Caenorhabditis elegans: one gene and its partners. The protein of the gene in region 3 purifies or fractionates together with the protein of the main gene of each other region. This does not show direct contact. Each region holds a gene or a part of one and is shown on either strand. Other genes may lie near its edges.

What was found. The genes of interacting proteins can lie anywhere in the genome.
Region 1: the proteins of nol-56 (region 3) and garr-1 fractionate together in Caenorhabditis elegans (co-fractionation; one large-scale study listed by BioGRID). This does not show direct contact.
Region 2: the proteins of nol-56 (region 3) and snu-13 fractionate together in Caenorhabditis elegans (co-fractionation; one large-scale study listed by BioGRID). This does not show direct contact.

The regions. Positions count from the first base shown.
Region 1 is NC_003282.8:424,282-428,977, reverse strand, and holds garr-1 (putative H/ACA ribonucleoprotein complex subunit 1-like protein), read right to left. Parts: upstream 2,811-4,696; 5' UTR 2,809-2,810; coding exon 2,476-2,808; intron 2,428-2,475; coding exon 2,026-2,427; 3' UTR 1,774-2,025; downstream 1-1,773. Other genes in the region: Y66H1A.5 (Saposin B-type domain-containing protein), read left to right, coding at 1-209, 267-456, 504-727; Phosphatidylinositol 3,4,5-trisphosphate 3-phosphatase and dual-specificity protein phosphatase daf-18, read left to right, coding at 3,830-4,040, 4,091-4,335. UniProt on the Caenorhabditis elegans protein: Required for ribosome biogenesis. Part of a complex which catalyzes pseudouridylation of rRNA. This involves the isomerization of uridine such that the ribose is subsequently attached to C5, instead of the normal N1.
Region 2 is NC_003280.10:10,656,254-10,660,431, forward strand, and holds snu-13 (Small nuclear ribonucleoprotein associated homolog 13), read right to left. Parts: upstream 2,374-4,178; 5' UTR 2,362-2,373; coding exon 2,206-2,361; intron 2,126-2,205; coding exon 1,895-2,125; 3' UTR 1,774-1,894; downstream 1-1,773. Other genes in the region: lact-3 (Beta-lactamase-related domain-containing protein), read right to left, coding at 1-166, 933-1,056, 1,261-1,415; rsp-7 (putative splicing factor, arginine/serine-rich 7), read left to right, coding at 2,957-3,076, 3,145-3,295, 3,344-3,462, 3,779-3,955; marc-2 (RING-CH-type domain-containing protein), read right to left, coding at 3,994-4,075, 4,125-4,178. UniProt on the Caenorhabditis elegans protein: Binds to the 5'-stem-loop of U4 snRNA and may play a role in the late stage of spliceosome assembly. The protein undergoes a conformational change upon RNA-binding.
Region 3 is NC_003283.11:10,348,854-10,356,011, forward strand, and holds nol-56 (Nucleolar protein 56), read right to left. Parts: upstream 4,126-7,158; 5' UTR 4,115-4,125; coding exon 4,016-4,114; intron 3,984-4,015; exon of another isoform or gene 3,857-3,983; intron 3,831-3,856; coding exon 3,716-3,830; intron 3,666-3,715; coding exon 3,511-3,665; intron 3,430-3,510; coding exon 3,322-3,429; intron 3,277-3,321; coding exon 3,042-3,276; intron 3,010-3,041; exon of another isoform or gene 2,880-3,009; intron 2,863-2,879; coding exon 2,530-2,862; intron 2,501-2,529; exon of another isoform or gene 2,365-2,500; intron 2,361-2,364; coding exon 2,086-2,360; intron 2,060-2,085; exon of another isoform or gene 1,927-2,059; intron 1,906-1,926; coding exon 1,765-1,905; 3' UTR 1,618-1,764; downstream 1-1,617. Other genes in the region: nssp-62 (Neuropeptide-Like Protein), read right to left, coding at 1,213-1,269; sluh-7 (Pre-mRNA-splicing factor SLU7), read right to left, coding at 4,822-4,971, 5,057-6,437, 6,481-6,785, 6,855-6,962. UniProt on the Caenorhabditis elegans protein: Required for 60S ribosomal subunit synthesis.

The DNA of each region.
Region 1 (4,696 bases), on a different chromosome or scaffold from region 3:
TATTATTCGTGATTGTTGTCGCCCAAGCGGGTCCCGCAGCGAATTCGGAAAACCACGTTAATCACGTGGAGCAGCTGAAGCTACAATGTGCCGCATGTCAATTCTTGGGATTGGCGGTCGCTGAAAAAAATGTAAAAGTTCCAAGTGACAATGCAGTGGCTCATTGTCTGAAATTCGAAGGATGTGCAGTCAAGATGAGTGATTGTGAGGTGAATTTTGGAATCAATCTAAATTGTTGCGTTAACGAAAATACTAAACGTTTACAGATCATTTTCACGTTACATTCGGAAATCCAGAAAACGCCTGAAAATTTTGAAAAATCCTGGAATGCGATCTCCACTGCAGTTGAGAAATGTTCTAGCAACTTCAAAGCCATGGTGATCAGTGAAGATGTTAGCAATACTCAATGCACATTATGCTTCTTGGTTTACGATGTTCTCAAGTATATAAACTATAGTAAGATCGTTTGTTATTCTCTGGAAATCCAAATATTATCCATTCAGACATTCTTGAGAATCCAATGTTGGCAACCGTAAAGGCAGCGCTTGGTGAGGCATGCCCCCTTTTTAATGATGACCTTTGTCAAGCGCTCTTCCAACCGGACACCTTCGGAGCCATTATTCGAGGTCTTCAGGACTCTCTTGGTGGATTCTATGACCTCATTGCTGTGCAGGGATTCCAATGTCCAACGTTGGATCAACTTTTCGTGAAATGCAAAGGCCAATGAAGGATTTCAAATAACTAAACTAAAGATTTTACACAGCGCTCTGGGGCAAGGATTTTTGGAGAATGAAACTTCAAAGAGTGCGTTAGAGCGCGCTTGCACACTTACCGAATGGGACAAAATTCCGCGATTGTTCAAATTTTTTAGATGGAATTTGGAAGAAATAATAAAATACTGAAATAATTGTTACTTTCAAAAAGTTTTAAAGAACATTTTACTGAAAAAATTCAGTATCTGGCTGATTTATCATTGATTATCGAACAAGTAGATCAATTAATTTTTTAAATCATTTAATGGTGCGTCCATAGTCTCAGGAAAACGGGAATTTCCCGCGGTCCGAGGCGTCTATAGTGCAGGGAAAAAACGGAGTTTCCACGCATTGTTTTCCTCAAAATTCAAAAAAGTAGGCGTGGCCTGCAGTTTTTCCACTTTCCCATTGTTCAGCTCAAAATTTTACAGCCTCTAATTGGTTGGGCACGGCCACTTTTGAAATTGACCAATAACGAAGCGAGAAACTCGCTCAATTTTTCCGCATACTATGGACGCCTCGGGTCGCGGGAAATTTTCGTTTTCCGCAGACTATGGACGCACCATAATAAATTGAGCCCGTAAATCGACACAAAAGCTACAGTAGCTACTGCAGTAGTCCTTCTAAGAGTTACTGTAGTTTTGGCTACGAGATATTTTGCGCGTCAAGTATGTTGCGCAATACACTCAAAATAAGAAAACTGCGTGGCGTGTACTGCAGAAAACCTCATATTTAGGCCCCGCCTTTTGTGGCGTGGTACAGTATGTACACTGCTGAGATTAGAACAATGAAAATCGCTCAGAATTATTTTTATCTTCAGCCGTTTTGATTGAGAGCTCTATTCTGTTAAAATTTCAAATTTCAAAAGTTAACCTGTATTGCAAAATTTCAATTGCTAATTGCTACTTTACTACTTTCTAGATTTTGTTCTCAAGCTAAATATATAATTTTCCAGTGTAATCTGTCAAATTAATGGCTGGAACTTGGTTGCGGCGATTAAAAAATGTTATAAGAACGATATATCAAAGCGCGCTTAAATGCGAACTCCAAATTTTATTCGCCAAAAATGCTTGCCTCAGAGCGCTGTGTGATTAGTGAAATAAAATAACTAAATTATATGATTATTATAATGTGTATAAAATACCAACAAGTTCAACAAAAAAGTGATCAAAAAATGAGGGCAGATGAGAAAAGGAAAACAAAGAAAATCAACAATTGGTAAAAAAAAAGGATGAAAACAATTGGAACATACAGTTTTTTAGAGAAGAAACAATTATTCGAATTTAGTTCTCTTATTATTCTGTCCTCCGAAACTTCCACCATCGTATGATCGTTTGAAGTCTCCACGTCCGCGACCTCCGAAGTCTCCTCCACGGCCACCACGGAACCCTCCACGGTCTCCGCCTCGGAATCCTCCACGACCACCGCCAAAACCTCCGCGATCCCCGCCTCTGAATCCACCGCCGCCGCCTCTTCCAAAGCCTCCACGACCTCCACGGTCACTGCCACGTCCTCCACGATCCCCACCGCGTCCGCGACCACCTCTTCCACGCCCTCCGCCGGCTTGTGGAAGGAAACGATCAACTGGTAAAAGCTTTCCGGGATCAATGTACAGCTGAGACTCTGGTTCGAATGAAGAGGCTTTTACTCCTTGTGACAATGTGACGGAGAATCCCTGCAGCGAATAAATTTATGATTAATTTTCAATTAAGAGATTACTTACGTTCTCCCCGGGGGATCCAAAAATCTCGTCGATTTTTCCGACTTGTTCCTTATTCTTGAAGTAAATTGGAGCATTGAAATATGGGATTTTTCCACTCGTATTGTTGCAAACAATATCATCTTGGCACTGATGGGAGAAGACACCGACGAGCACAACTTCCTCTGGTGGTCCCTGATCGTAACCTCCACGGCCGCCCCCTCCGAATCCACCGCGTCCTCCACGGAAGCCACCACCTCTGTCACCGCCGCGACCTCCACGGAATCCACCGCCTCCACCGCCACCACGACCACCTCGAAATCCACCACCGCCTCCACGTCCACCACGGAAACTCATTTCTGAAATGTCAAACAATTTTTGAACTTTAAAGTTATTCAAGTGCAAAATAAAATCAAACTGGACATAAAAATATATTTGTTGAGAAATTCAATAGAAAAAATTGGTATTGCAAAACAAAAAGGGGTTTTCTTGTACATAATATTCACAGAAATTTCAATTTTCTAAATATGAGAAAATTAAGAAAATCACAAGAAATTGATTTTCGCCTATTTCGAAGAATTTCATCGCACTATACAAACTTTAGACTCTAAATACAACTTATAAATAACGATTATTTCGTTTTTTGCCAGTTTTTAAACAAGAAAATCAATAAAAACTATTGGAAAACGTTAAAAAATATCGAAAAAAAAATCGAAGAGAAGAGAAAAATGCAGTGAGAAGAGAGGCGTTCGTGGCGAGACCCGTGCCGTTTGAATTAGCGTGCGCCTTTAAGAGACATTTTTTGGATTTTGTTTTTTCGCCGCGAAACCGATCTTTTTCGGTGTTTATCTGCTTTTTCGACAATTTTTATTCATTTTTTCTTGATTTTTCAATACAAATAAACATTTTCCACACGTAGGTTATAAAAATATCCGAAATCTTCCTATTTCTTGGTTGAAAATGCTCATAAATCAGTAGACCAAAATTTTGCTTTTTTGATCAAATGATTTCATATGATCTTCTACTATTGGCGCTGGCGGGTATTATTTTCTAATAAATCAGTCTTGTTTTTTTTAAGTCGAAAATACGCATATTGGCGATTTTCAACGGATTTCTAGCTCTTTTTCAGCTCATTCTTAACGAGGAAATGTAGTCTGTCTTTCTGCTCCTCTCGTATCTCTCGGGTCTGAGCTCTCTGCGTGAACAAATCTGAGCTTTAGCATGAGCTAGTTAATCCCTTAATCCTTTGCGCTCATTTGGCATTCTATTCTATCACACTTCACCTGACAATGTTTAAATTATAAAATTCGCTGAAATTCTCTTCTAATTCGTTCCTCTTCATGAATTTGCAGTTTCCAGGTACATCTACTAACCCCCAATGGTTACTCCTCCTCCAGATGTGCCAAGCACATCGACCAGGTCGATGGCTCGTGACCTTCAAGAGAATCCAAACCGACAACCTGGTGAACCACGTGTGTCTGAACCGTATCACAATTCAATCGTCGAGCGGATTCGCCATATTTTTCGGACGGCTGTATCTTCCAATCGTTGTCGCACCGAGTACCAAAATATCGACCTAGATTGTGCATGTAAGGCACTTCTCTTGAGTTCAAAGCATTTCAATTTTCAAAACTTTCAGATATCACAGACCGAATCATAGCTATCGGTTATCCAGCAACAGGAATCGAAGCGAATTTCCGTAACTCAAAAGTTCAAACTCAACAATTTCTGACCAGGCGGCACGGAAAGGGCAACGTGAAGGTGTTTAACCTGCGCGGTGGATACTACTACGATGCGGATAACTTCGATGGAAATGTTATTTGCTTCGATATGACTGATCATCATCCGCCGAGTCTCGAATTAATGGCTCCGTTTTGCAGAGAGGTTATTTTTCATCACTTCTGTGGCTCTAAAATTTCCGAATGAACGTGATTGCCCTGAAATTTTAAATCATGAGGACTCTATTGAAGGAGGACTAACACAGGCCCAAAATGAGCTCAAATGAACGAATTTCGTAATAAAACTTCGCAAACTGTTATGGCGGTTCACAATTTCGAAAAAATGACACCGATTTTAGCTGAAATCTCGAATTTTGGCCACTTTTCCGTGTCGCATCTGGCCGATGTTGACTTTTTTGAATTCTCGCCCTATATTGCATATTTTGGTAGTTTATATCATGTAATTTCGTCGATTAAGATACATTTAAAACCCATATTGACCCAAAAATCATCAAAATTTGCTACCT
Region 2 (4,178 bases), on a different chromosome or scaffold from region 3:
GAGAAAGTGCCATATTTATAGTAACATTATCTCTTCCATGAGTTCCAAATCCTGGCCAATACTTGGATACTGGGTCATCATATCTCAATTTTCCTTGCTCGTAGAGCAGTGCAACTGCTAATGACGCGGCAGCTTTTGTAGTCGAGAACGTCACTGTTATTGTGTCCTGAAACAATCAATTTTTTTAAAAATTTTTGTGTTTTGCTGATATGTCACAACTTTTTTCAAAAATGTTTTCTCTGTTTTTGTGCCATTCCATTCAATTTTATAGACTTCAAAAACCGTTTTGAACCGAAAAACTCCCCGTATCAAATTGATATTATTATCAGTTCATATCAATCTGACGACAGTGGAAAAATATATGTCGAAGCTATGAGGGAAACCGACGATAAATTATTCCAAATAAGGGCAAAGTATTAGATTGGGTTAAAGTTTGGAAATTCAGGTGCGAAATTTTGAGTCAAAAATACTGTCTCGACACGACAAGTTTCATGATTTTTTTAATTACTTAATACATTATGGAAACAAAAAAAGCTTACGAAAATAATGAGAAAACTACGATAAATCGATAAAAACTCCGCAACAACAGATGTTAAAAGTTACAGTATTCTTTAAAGGCGCACGTCTTTTCGCATTTATTATAAATGTGTCGTGGTTAAACCTATGGAACCGTATTTTTGTGTGCACCTTTAAACAGTACTGTAATTTTGAACTTATATTGCAGCGGAATTTTTCTTATCGATTTTTCGTAGTTTTTCGATAAAAACAAATTTACTTATTGGAAAAAAAACCAAATCTCGAGGAAAATTATTTTTTAATCGAAAAAAAACCTGGGGAACCGTATTTTTGGTGCAAAAAACCCAAGATTTATAGTAAAAAAGTTTGAAATTGAAAAATGCTTGATTTTATTTTTTTTGTTTTCAAAAATCTACCTCAGCCCACTTCCTTGCCGCCTGCTTATCAGCATATCCACCCCATAAATCGACGACTTTCTTTCCATCAACAAATACAGCGAATGCTGATCCTTCGATTTCCCATCCATTTTCGAAATTCTTTCTGTAAAAATACAAGTTCCAGGATTTTTGCAAGACATTTTCCTTTTCTTTTTTTTAAAATAAAATAAAGATGACGATAGAAAAAGATTATTTGCCTGTACGCATGCCGGCAAAGTAAATATTAATTTCAGTTCAGTCAAACACATTTGTCACTTCACACGGGTAGAAAAATGAGAAAAAAAGAGAGCAGGAAGGTCGAACTTACTTAAAAACCTCTCGAACTTTCTCGAAACGTTCATCGACAAATCCACTAACATCGGATTTGTGATTTGAATATAACCGATCACATACAAAGCGATAAGTTACAGATAATAAAACTGTGGCTAGAAATAGTTTGAAGAGTAGAGAAAACTGTTGCATGTTGGTGGGAACACGGAGCGGCGGGAATGGAGAGACAGAGCACACGGAGATGGGCGGTGCTTGCCTTGCCAGAAACCGTCTTTTCTCCCGGAGGAAGCGACTCCCTGTAGTTATCAGCGATTGCCTTTTTTTTGGCGGCCCTATCGGGTTGTGACGGCGTTTGGGGTGGAATTAGCAAGCCAATGGTTAGGAAGAGACACATTCTAGGGCAAACGGGGGTCGAATTAGAATGCAACCGGTTCCGGGAGGTTTATTTACTCGCATCATCATACGCCAATGAAGTACTTGTGTGTCCAAGATACACTTTAGAACAGTGTAGCCGATTATGCAATTTGATAACAATCAGATGTCCATGTTTCGCAGAAACGTTCATTCTTTTTCAAAAACGATGTATTTGCAATTTGGGACAACAAAACAATGAATGGATTATCATATAACAACAATGAGGTAACGTAACAACAAATTGATAAAAGAAGGATTTAGATGAGAAGCTTCTCAACGTCCTCCTTGATCTTCTGAATTTGAGATTTGAGCTGAGATCCTTCGTTTTGAGTGATTGAAGCAGCGATCACTGGACGAGTGACTCCACAAGCGCGTCCGAGGGCAGCCTTGCTGCGAACAAAGACGTATGGAACGTTCTTGTCTTCGCAGAGAAGTGGAAGATGGAGGAGAATCTCCAGTGGCTCGGCATCGGCGGCCATGACGATGATCTGAAACAATTCAATTAATTTGGTTCGAAAATTGATTTTGAAAATGGGAATGCAATTCAACATGGTTACGATACACTTACCTCAGAGATTCCTCTGTTGAGAGTCTTGGTGGCCTCGTTGGCTCCCTTCTTGAGCTGTTTGTAGTTCATCGCTTGCTGGACGAGATCCATGAGCTTTTGAGACAAGTTGGTATCGGCCAGTGGGAAGGCCTTCGGATTGACTCCATCATCGGCCATTTTTCTTCTTTTCTGAAATAAAGATGGTTGAAAATTGCTACAATGCGAAAGAATTATTTATCGATTCAAGAGAAAAAATAATAAAAACGATTTCAAAGCTGTAAATTCAAATTTTTACGATGATTTGCACTAGTAACATATCTGAAAGTAATAGATAATCAAAATTCCATTTATTTTTAATTTATTGTACCAACTTATTTAATTTCCGAAGAAAAATACAACGGGCAACGGGAGAAACAAAAGAAAAGAGAAAAAAACTACTTGTAATTTTCGAAAAGGGCCCAAAAAGAGACGCAGACAGTGGACGGGTCTCGCAGCGACAAGATGTTGGCACGCTGCCAAACATGCAGTGATTCTTTTTTATTCGAATTTGGCTGCATTTATTTTCGATTTAACCTGAATTTTACATGTTTTATCTGATTTTTATCGATTTTAAACGAAATTTCGATAAAAATCTAACTTTTTCTAATAGTTTATGCCTTTTCGATAGATTTTTACATGTTAATTTTGAAATTACGTCGCCGGTTTAAATTTATTGAACTACATTTTGTTTTTCTATTTTTCAAGACGAAAATTGATTATTTTATTTTCAGGAATGTCGGGGGAGGAGAAAGAAAAAGTAAAAATTCTCCATGTCGCCAACATTTCGACATCGGCTACCAGGGATCACATCTACAACATGTTCAACTATCTCGGAAAAATTCAGGATTTGAAGGTTGGTTTATTATTCCAAATTTACACATTTTTCGATTAAAAATTTCAATTAAAAATTTATTCTTTCAGGTCTATCCATCAGAAGGTAATATCACAGCTAATACTCTCCTGAAAACTGCTTTTATCAAGTTCGACGACGAGCGATGTGTCGAAGTAGCTCAGCATCTCACCAACACAGTCGTCATCGATTGCGCGATAGTCTGCCTACCATATCCGAATCGTGAGTTTTTTGAAAGCTGCATTTTTTCATAAAGTTTCATTTTTTCAGCTGTGATTCCGGACGAGGAGAGTTTTTTCAACAGTGGTGGATCTACAACGGCTGGTCAGCGACAGCTCCCACCTCACGTCACCAATAAAATTCAAGAATCTGACGATGGATCTGCTTTGGTAAGTTTATTTTCCCACTAGTTTTCCAACTAGCGTCTGGTGGTAACGGACGTTACTTGTTCATTTTACAGTTCTACTGGCCACTACCCAAATGACGAATGCAGTAAAATCCCGAAAGCGTAATCCAGAAAATCATCAAAAAACTTTGTTAGTACTCGCCGAATGATTAAATTTTCAGTTTCAGTGTATCCTCGCCAATCTATGCTGCGCATCGTCGGATATGAAAGCAATTAAATTTAGAAATTTTCAAATTCCTGATATTTTAGAAATTGCAATATTTCTAGTTTTCGCGCCGTCTAATTATTCCATTTTTCAGTTGATTACAGTCGATCCGACACTGGAGCAGCTCGGACTACCGGCTTATCCACCTCTACCGGCTGACACGGATTCTGCCAAAGTCGAAGAAATTCGAAGAACAGTCTACGTTGGAAATCTTCCGAAAGGTGTTGATGGAAACGAGGTTCTCGAACTGTTCAACATGTATTTTGGAGAGGTAGGTTAAAAACGATATTTTTGAAAGATTTATTTCTATCAATGTGCATTTATTGGCATTTTCATTCCTCTCTTGCTAGATCGACTTGCAATTGAAATTTGGCTTGACGGGCTTCCAGATCTAGAAAATATCAGTTAGAAATCAAGTTATCAGAAACATAGAAAATTACCTATCCTTGAACTTAAAAATTGTATTATCAATAAGCCATTTCTCGAAGAAAACA
Region 3 (7,158 bases):
ACTTCTAAGACGAGCTCATTGCTTTGCGTAGACGTCTATATTTTAATTATTCTGTGGGAAAAGGAAGAAGCACATACATTAAGATTGGATTTTCCAGGTGAAATTCGTCATTACTCTCGAGCGACATTACTATTCAAAAAAGCTAGGCAAGAAAGCCGTTCAAATTTTTACGTATTCGTGTTATTACTCTCCAAACCCTCACAATTCTGAAAAATTCAGAAGCACATGAGCCAATTTAAATATGTTAATCACTTTGACATAGAATCATCTGTCCCACTTCCCCGTAGGTAAATGAAATCACAATTAATATGCAGGTGAAAATGCTAACGATTTCCATGCAAACTACAACCACGTCAATTGAAGATCGAAGTTCCATTTTGAAATGAAACTAAATGCGACTACAATGATAGAAAAGGATTAGAAATTTTGGAGAAAAAATATGATAATTCTTTAGAAATCCTTGATTGGAATTATTGTCATGCAATATAAATCACAGGTTATGTGACTTTTGATAAATTGAAGATTTCATAATTCCAGGAATACATCTAAGAATCCAAAAATCATTTACTATATAAAAAGCGCTTATTCTGTGTGTCCATATTTTGTAGTCAATGTAGTCTTTGTAGTCTGTGAAGTTTTGGCTTCTGTGGGGATAGTGAGTTGGGGTTAGTGTAGGGATATAGTCGGGGTACTGTAGTGGTACAATAGTGGTAAGGTAGGAATACTGTAGGGTTACGGTAGTTTCAGAAAAATAAGATTTCAGCCCCAGAAGTCGGGGGCCGCGCCGGAGGTGCGGTCCACGGCTGGTAGTATTAATAATTAAAAATGACAAATTATTTTGATTCTTCTTAATATTTTTCTTTCTCTAAATAATTGTCGTAAATAGTTTCGTAAGGATTTCATCATTTTAAAGGTACACGTGCATTCTTTCGGTGGTTCTCGACACGATCTCCATAATTTTTTATCTACCGAAAGTTTATCAAGTTTTCCATTCAAGACTGAAGCATATGAATTTCTACATTCCAAATTGCACAAATGGCAAGAGTTACCAAAAAATAACGCTTCCAATCAAAAACTTTTGGCTTCTAGAGATTTTTTCTTCAAAAGTAGTACTATATTCTGAGCTTTTTTGCAAAAACAAAGTTAAAATAAGTTTAGCTTTTTATAATTAAAGTTCTTCTCCATTCTTTTTTTAATGAATAAAACCTGTACCTGTGCAAAAACCGTAACGAGAATTGAGACGAAAATGACAAAAAGCCGGCAATTCATTTTGTGTAGGAAGACCAAAGAAAGAGAATACTGGAAATTAATAATTATTTTGAAAACAGATCTGAAAATAAGACAGTATCAATAAAGGCGACTAATGAAATTATTATTTACTCTCTAAAAGAACGAAAAGGGTTGTTTTCCCGACCTATTATGAGACTGACTGAGTCTCAACTGACGTGTTGTGCATTTTCTAAGCTCCAGTCTTGCTCTCTTGGCCCCGCCCTTCTCGAGATTTTGACGCCGCCCTCTCATTCTTAATACACGGCTTCGCGTAGTGTAGTGAACAGAGCACTTTCGAACATTACTCGCACTGAAGTTTATATGTGAAGTCAATTCTAAAACATTTACGCTGGATTATACAAGTTTATTCATTAAGAAGAAAACAGAGTAACAACAAGATGTAGGGGTCCAACAGTCAACAAAAACAAAATAGTTCAACATGGGGGAGTTACATTCATAAAACAAAAAAGATCAGTGGTGTAGTGATGATGAAGATTACTCGTCTCCAGCCTTGCTCTTCTTCTTCTTCTTTGGCTTTGGAGCATCCTCGTCAACCTCAGCTTCAGCAGTTGCAGTGACAGACTCTTCAGCAAGACGCTTGGCTTTCTTGGCAGCCTTCTTCTTCTTTTTGATGACCTGAAATACAATTTTTAATTGATTGTTTCCTTAAAAGATAGATCATGAGTTTAAAATGAGAGAAACCCAGCTAAAAATTCTTCAATGGATAATTATATCGCATGCAAGCTAAACGGCCGAATTAAAACAATTTGCCCGCATTAAATACATGCTAAATAGGAAATTTGCGCAAAACTGTACCTTCTCCTTAACCTCAACGGCAGCTTCCTCGGCCTCCTTCATGACGTCAATGTTTTTCTTTGGAACAGTTCCGGAGGTGAAATACTCAAGTCTATCCTCAACCTGTTGGCGAAGGAATTCTCCATATGTCGAAACTGGAGTCTCGGAGAAGCAATCCACACGAGCAGCAATGGAGCACTTGTTAGCAAGATATCTGGACACACGACCCTTGTTCTTGGTTCCAGCTTTTCCAATGAAGCTGGAGTGGAAGAGAAGTCCATACTTTGGAGTGTTGGCTGAAAATGTACCAATTTCAGAAAAATCATAGACTCGAATATGACCGAGTGCAGCGAATAAAATCTTCAATAGAAAATAATTTTGCATGCAAGCTAAACGGCTGAACTAAAATCATCCACCCGCATTAAATACATGCCATCAATTAATGATACATTTTTCATGACTTACATCTGGTCTTCAAGGCACGGAAAAGAGCCTTCTCTGCTCCGAGGATTTGGACAGTGGACGCTGGATACTTGGCCAAGTTGGTCAGCGAACCAGCATGCGAGATCAAGCGAGCACCAACTTGTTCTCCGATAAGAGCACTGAGAGAAGGAGCACAGTGGTCCATACGATCTTTAATGTACTCGTGAAGTTGTTGTCTATACTCCATGAGAGAAGAGACACGAGCGGCGAATCTCTTGATGTTCTCAAGATCGAGATCGGAAATATCCATTCCCATTGATGTTCTGGCCGCTTCGATGATCTGAGCGGTTTTCTCGGAATCATTGTCAAGAATTTCTGAAAAAGGAAAGAATATTTGTGGGACACACAAAGTGACCGAAAACATCAAAACATTCTCGGTGTCTGGTTGTCTCTATGCTTTACCTCTCATTTTACTAGTGAACTTAACAAAATGCTAGTCCCCCGGCTTATAAGAGAGGTTACCCAAAATCTACATTTTGAACTATAATACTTACCAAGAATCTCATTCTCGAGGTTCTCATTTTCAGCCATCTTGTTTCTGTCCAAGATAGCGACAGCAAGGCGAGAGTACTTGTATTGATCTGGAGCCAGACGGAAGAGCTCTGGATAATGGTAAGAGTACCATTCACGGATTCTCATTCCAAAAAGATTGATATCCTTGTCCAACTGATCGAGAAGGGCAATCGATTGAATAACCATGTTGTCCACACGATGCACATCGAATTTGACCTATCAAAAAACATTTAGAGAAAAAAGCGCGATCGAGGTACGCACCTTCGAACGAGAGTAACTATGACCGAGAGAAAGCTGAGCTTTCGATAAGGAGTGATGTGGGAGATTTTTGGCCAAACGCTCGAAATGAACACGAGTACCACGCAGAATCTAAACTCAAAATATGTGTTTTCGTCATCGGTAACAGATTCAGGTAAACTCCAAAGAGTTTATTGTGAATCTTCACGTTACCTCGGTGATAACACCTCCGAAGACAAGCTTCAGATCTGGGAACGCTTCAGTAAGCGAACCCGCAAGCTTCGAGTCATTGATTCCAAGCACAACGTGTTTTTTCTTTTTTGGAAGCGACTTTTGAAGAAAATTAGTGAGATCAGGGTGGGCGAGACCTAATAATTAAAATAATTACTCCCCATCAAAACTTATCGGTCTTTGTTACCTTCAGAGATGGAGTTGCAGTTTTCCAATGCAGCTTCGGTGTTTTTGAACGGATCAAACGAAGCAAGCTCAACGATTTGCGAGAACTTGTATCCATCAGCATGAGCGGCATCGACCTGAAAATGCGTTAATTTAAGCACTAAACTGTGGGACATACGAAGTGACCGAATATATCACAACATAATCGGTGTCTGGATGTCTCTATAATTTTCCTCGCGTTTTACTAGTGAACTCAGCAAAGGCTAGTCCCCCGGCTTATAAGCGAGGATATTTTAAAAATACTTTTTTCGAGCGAACGTACCTCTTGGAGGATAAGACCAGCATCATCAAACTCCTTAATCTTCATGAGAGCGTATCCAGCTGCATGCTCATAGAGCACGAAGTGGGGAACTTCCGACATGGTGTAAGAACCTGAAAAATCATTTATTCAAGAAAACCAAAAAGGGTGCAAAAACTGTGAGACTTTAAGTAAAGAAGAATTGATAGAACATTAATGTAATTGTTTATAAATACATCTTTCCTTATCATTCCAGTAATAAATAAATAAATAAAAACCGAAATTGGATCGATAAGTATCAAAAATAGGCCGGAGAAAAAATAAGGACGAATCAAAAAGACGACGGCGTACCTCTTTCGCTGCGAGACCTATTCGCAAAAGAGTGTGTGCCTTTACTACTCGTGAACTCCACTCGGACAAAATAATGGCAGTGGAGAAAATTACGCCAGTAAAACGTTTTATTAGAAATTTCTATAGAAATGAAAAAAGACGAACGAAATATTATCGGGAAAAATCGAAATTTTTCTAGCCGTTCACCAGAATCGATGTGCTTAGAATTTATTTTCAGAATGTAAATAAATCCAGATCAAGAAAACATGACGTGGAGGTTTTTGAATGAACGAATATACTGAAGCACGTATTTAAAAATTATTTAACACGAAGTTGGGCGCAGACGTTCGAAAATGAATTATTGAATAAGGGCATTTTGTAAAATCGGAATTAAAAAAATAATGGTGATCATGAATTGAATAATTTATTGAATAGACTGAATACAAATGTTTCAACAAACAACAATAAAGAGAAAAAACTACGGAGACGACTTCAAATAATTACTTGGTGTGTTTCTTCTCAAATTTGGAATTCATGTAGGCTGCCATCGGATCAGCAGAATGAACACTTGTCACACGATAAGCCTCCATTTCTTTTTCGTTCGGTGCAGTGTTGGAGTAGTCAGTGTTGTATTTACGGCCGCGATCACCCTGAACAAAGTATTTTATATTTTGAATTTTCAAGGAATATAATAGTACTAAGCGACCCGGATAAAATTAGTATTGGTAATCTTACCTCTCTTGCAGCTTTCATTCCTTCGGCCTTTTCCCGTTTCGCCTTCTTCATAGCTTTACGCATTTCTTCATCAGAATCAGATTCTGAACCACTTCCCGACGAAGGATCGCTTTCATCGTCCGAATCGCGATGACGCCTCTTTCTTTTCCCCAGCTTTGCCTTCTTGCGTTCACGCTTTTCACGTTTTTTATCACGACGCCGCTGGTCCCGTTCTCTTCGTTCTTTTTCAATTAACCTTTCCTTCTCGCGTTCTTTTTCTTTTTCTTCATCGTCACTTGGTGGTGATGGTGATATGGACTTCTCTGATACTTTTTCCTTTTCTTCGTCATTATCATTATCACTGTTTTCTTCTGCTACTTCATCCTTGATGGAATCTTCCTTCTCTTTTTCTTCTTTAACTTCAGTCTTCTCTACTAACTTCGGAACTTTGAAAATTTCTTCGTTTGAGGTCGTTGTACCTTTTGCTGCGCTCGTTTCAGCTTCAATTCCCTGCTTTCCCGTACAATATGAGTTCTTGACGAATTGATGACAGCACTTATATCCCCACCGACCCTCTCTCCAGAAACTTCCGAACACTGATGTATGATTTTGGGGATATATATCTTCTTTGAAGCGAGAGCTAATTGCTACTTTTTCCTTTCCCTTGATAACTTTTCCTTTCCGATTGTATTCGATATAACTCTCAGTTTGTGCCAGTAGCAACTCATCCGCAGGCCTTTCCATGTGCTCACCTCCTCCGTATTTGTCTAATAACTCTTTCTGTGTTTCGTTTTTCAGAGTTGATTTTTCCTTCTCATACTCTTTTTTCAGTGCTTCTAACTTTGTAGGTTCAGCAATCGAGTGAGCATATACTCCACCACGAGTGGCTTGCCATGCAAAAACTTGGGCTTCGTTTGCTGCTGTTACTTCACCAGAATATCGAACAAAATTATCTCCAGAAAAACGAGCTGCTTCTAATTCTTTTCCAGCAACACCAGCAAATGGATTTTCGCGCATAGAACGAGATTTTGGATCGTAATATGGGGAATTTTCCGCCAAATTGTACAGATACTTGGCTGTATCTTCTCGAATTCGTAGGTTTCTCACTGTGATTCTAGTACGGGAATCCATATCCACCGAAACTCCAGCCATATCCGCATCTTCTGCATACATATCCTCATCTTTTGGAGCTCCATCCTCCGTTGTAGCTGGTTCAACTTCTCCCTCTTTCATTTCATGCTCTCTGACCACTTTTCTAGCTTCTTCAAGATGCTCATAGTCTTCAATTACTTGTTTATGAGTAGATGGATCGTATCCATTCCAACGATCTCTTTTTGCATCAAATCCAAGTGTTAGATTCGGCTGTACGTAGTCATCTTCCGCGATATTATCATTGGTTTCCCTGAAATGAAAATTGTTTTTTTTTAAATTTGAAATGAACTTACTTTGCGTTAGATTTTCTAGGTCGGTCGAAACAATCTCTTTTCTGATGACCCATTGCTCCACAGTTTTCACAAGCCCCTTTACGAAACTTGGTTGCCGATTTTCCCGTTGTTCCTTTTTGGTACCACTCGTGAATTTGAGTCATCTTTTTCTCCCTTTCTTCATGCGGTCTCTGATGCTTCAAAGTGGGTCCTTCACTAGGTACGTACCACGGATTTTGTGAGATGAACATGGGAATATGTGGATTGATATCACGACCAGTCTGCACATCAACCATTGCAGGAGCAGTTCCAGCTTTTCGATCTTCCTGAAAATCAATATTTGCTAATGTTATTTTATGATTAGTGGTTTATAGCACAAATTATTGTAAACTCACTTCCAGTTGACGATCGCGCTGAACTTCAGCTTTGGATTTCTTATCTGCTACATTGACTTGCTGTTTAATTAACGCCGAAGGCGGTAAGTTCTGCTTATAAGACGCCATGAAGATGTCTGAAAATTAAGATATAGAAGTTTAGATTAATTTCCTCCAACAAATATAAAGAAACTTTGAGAATAAACACATCGCCGTTTTGTGGGCAACTAGACAAGAAGAGGTCCATTTTTTAATCAAAAAAGAGACGGTCAGAATGAAAAAAAGTTTCGTACATGCGCTACACTTTATTTATTTAAAGAAATAA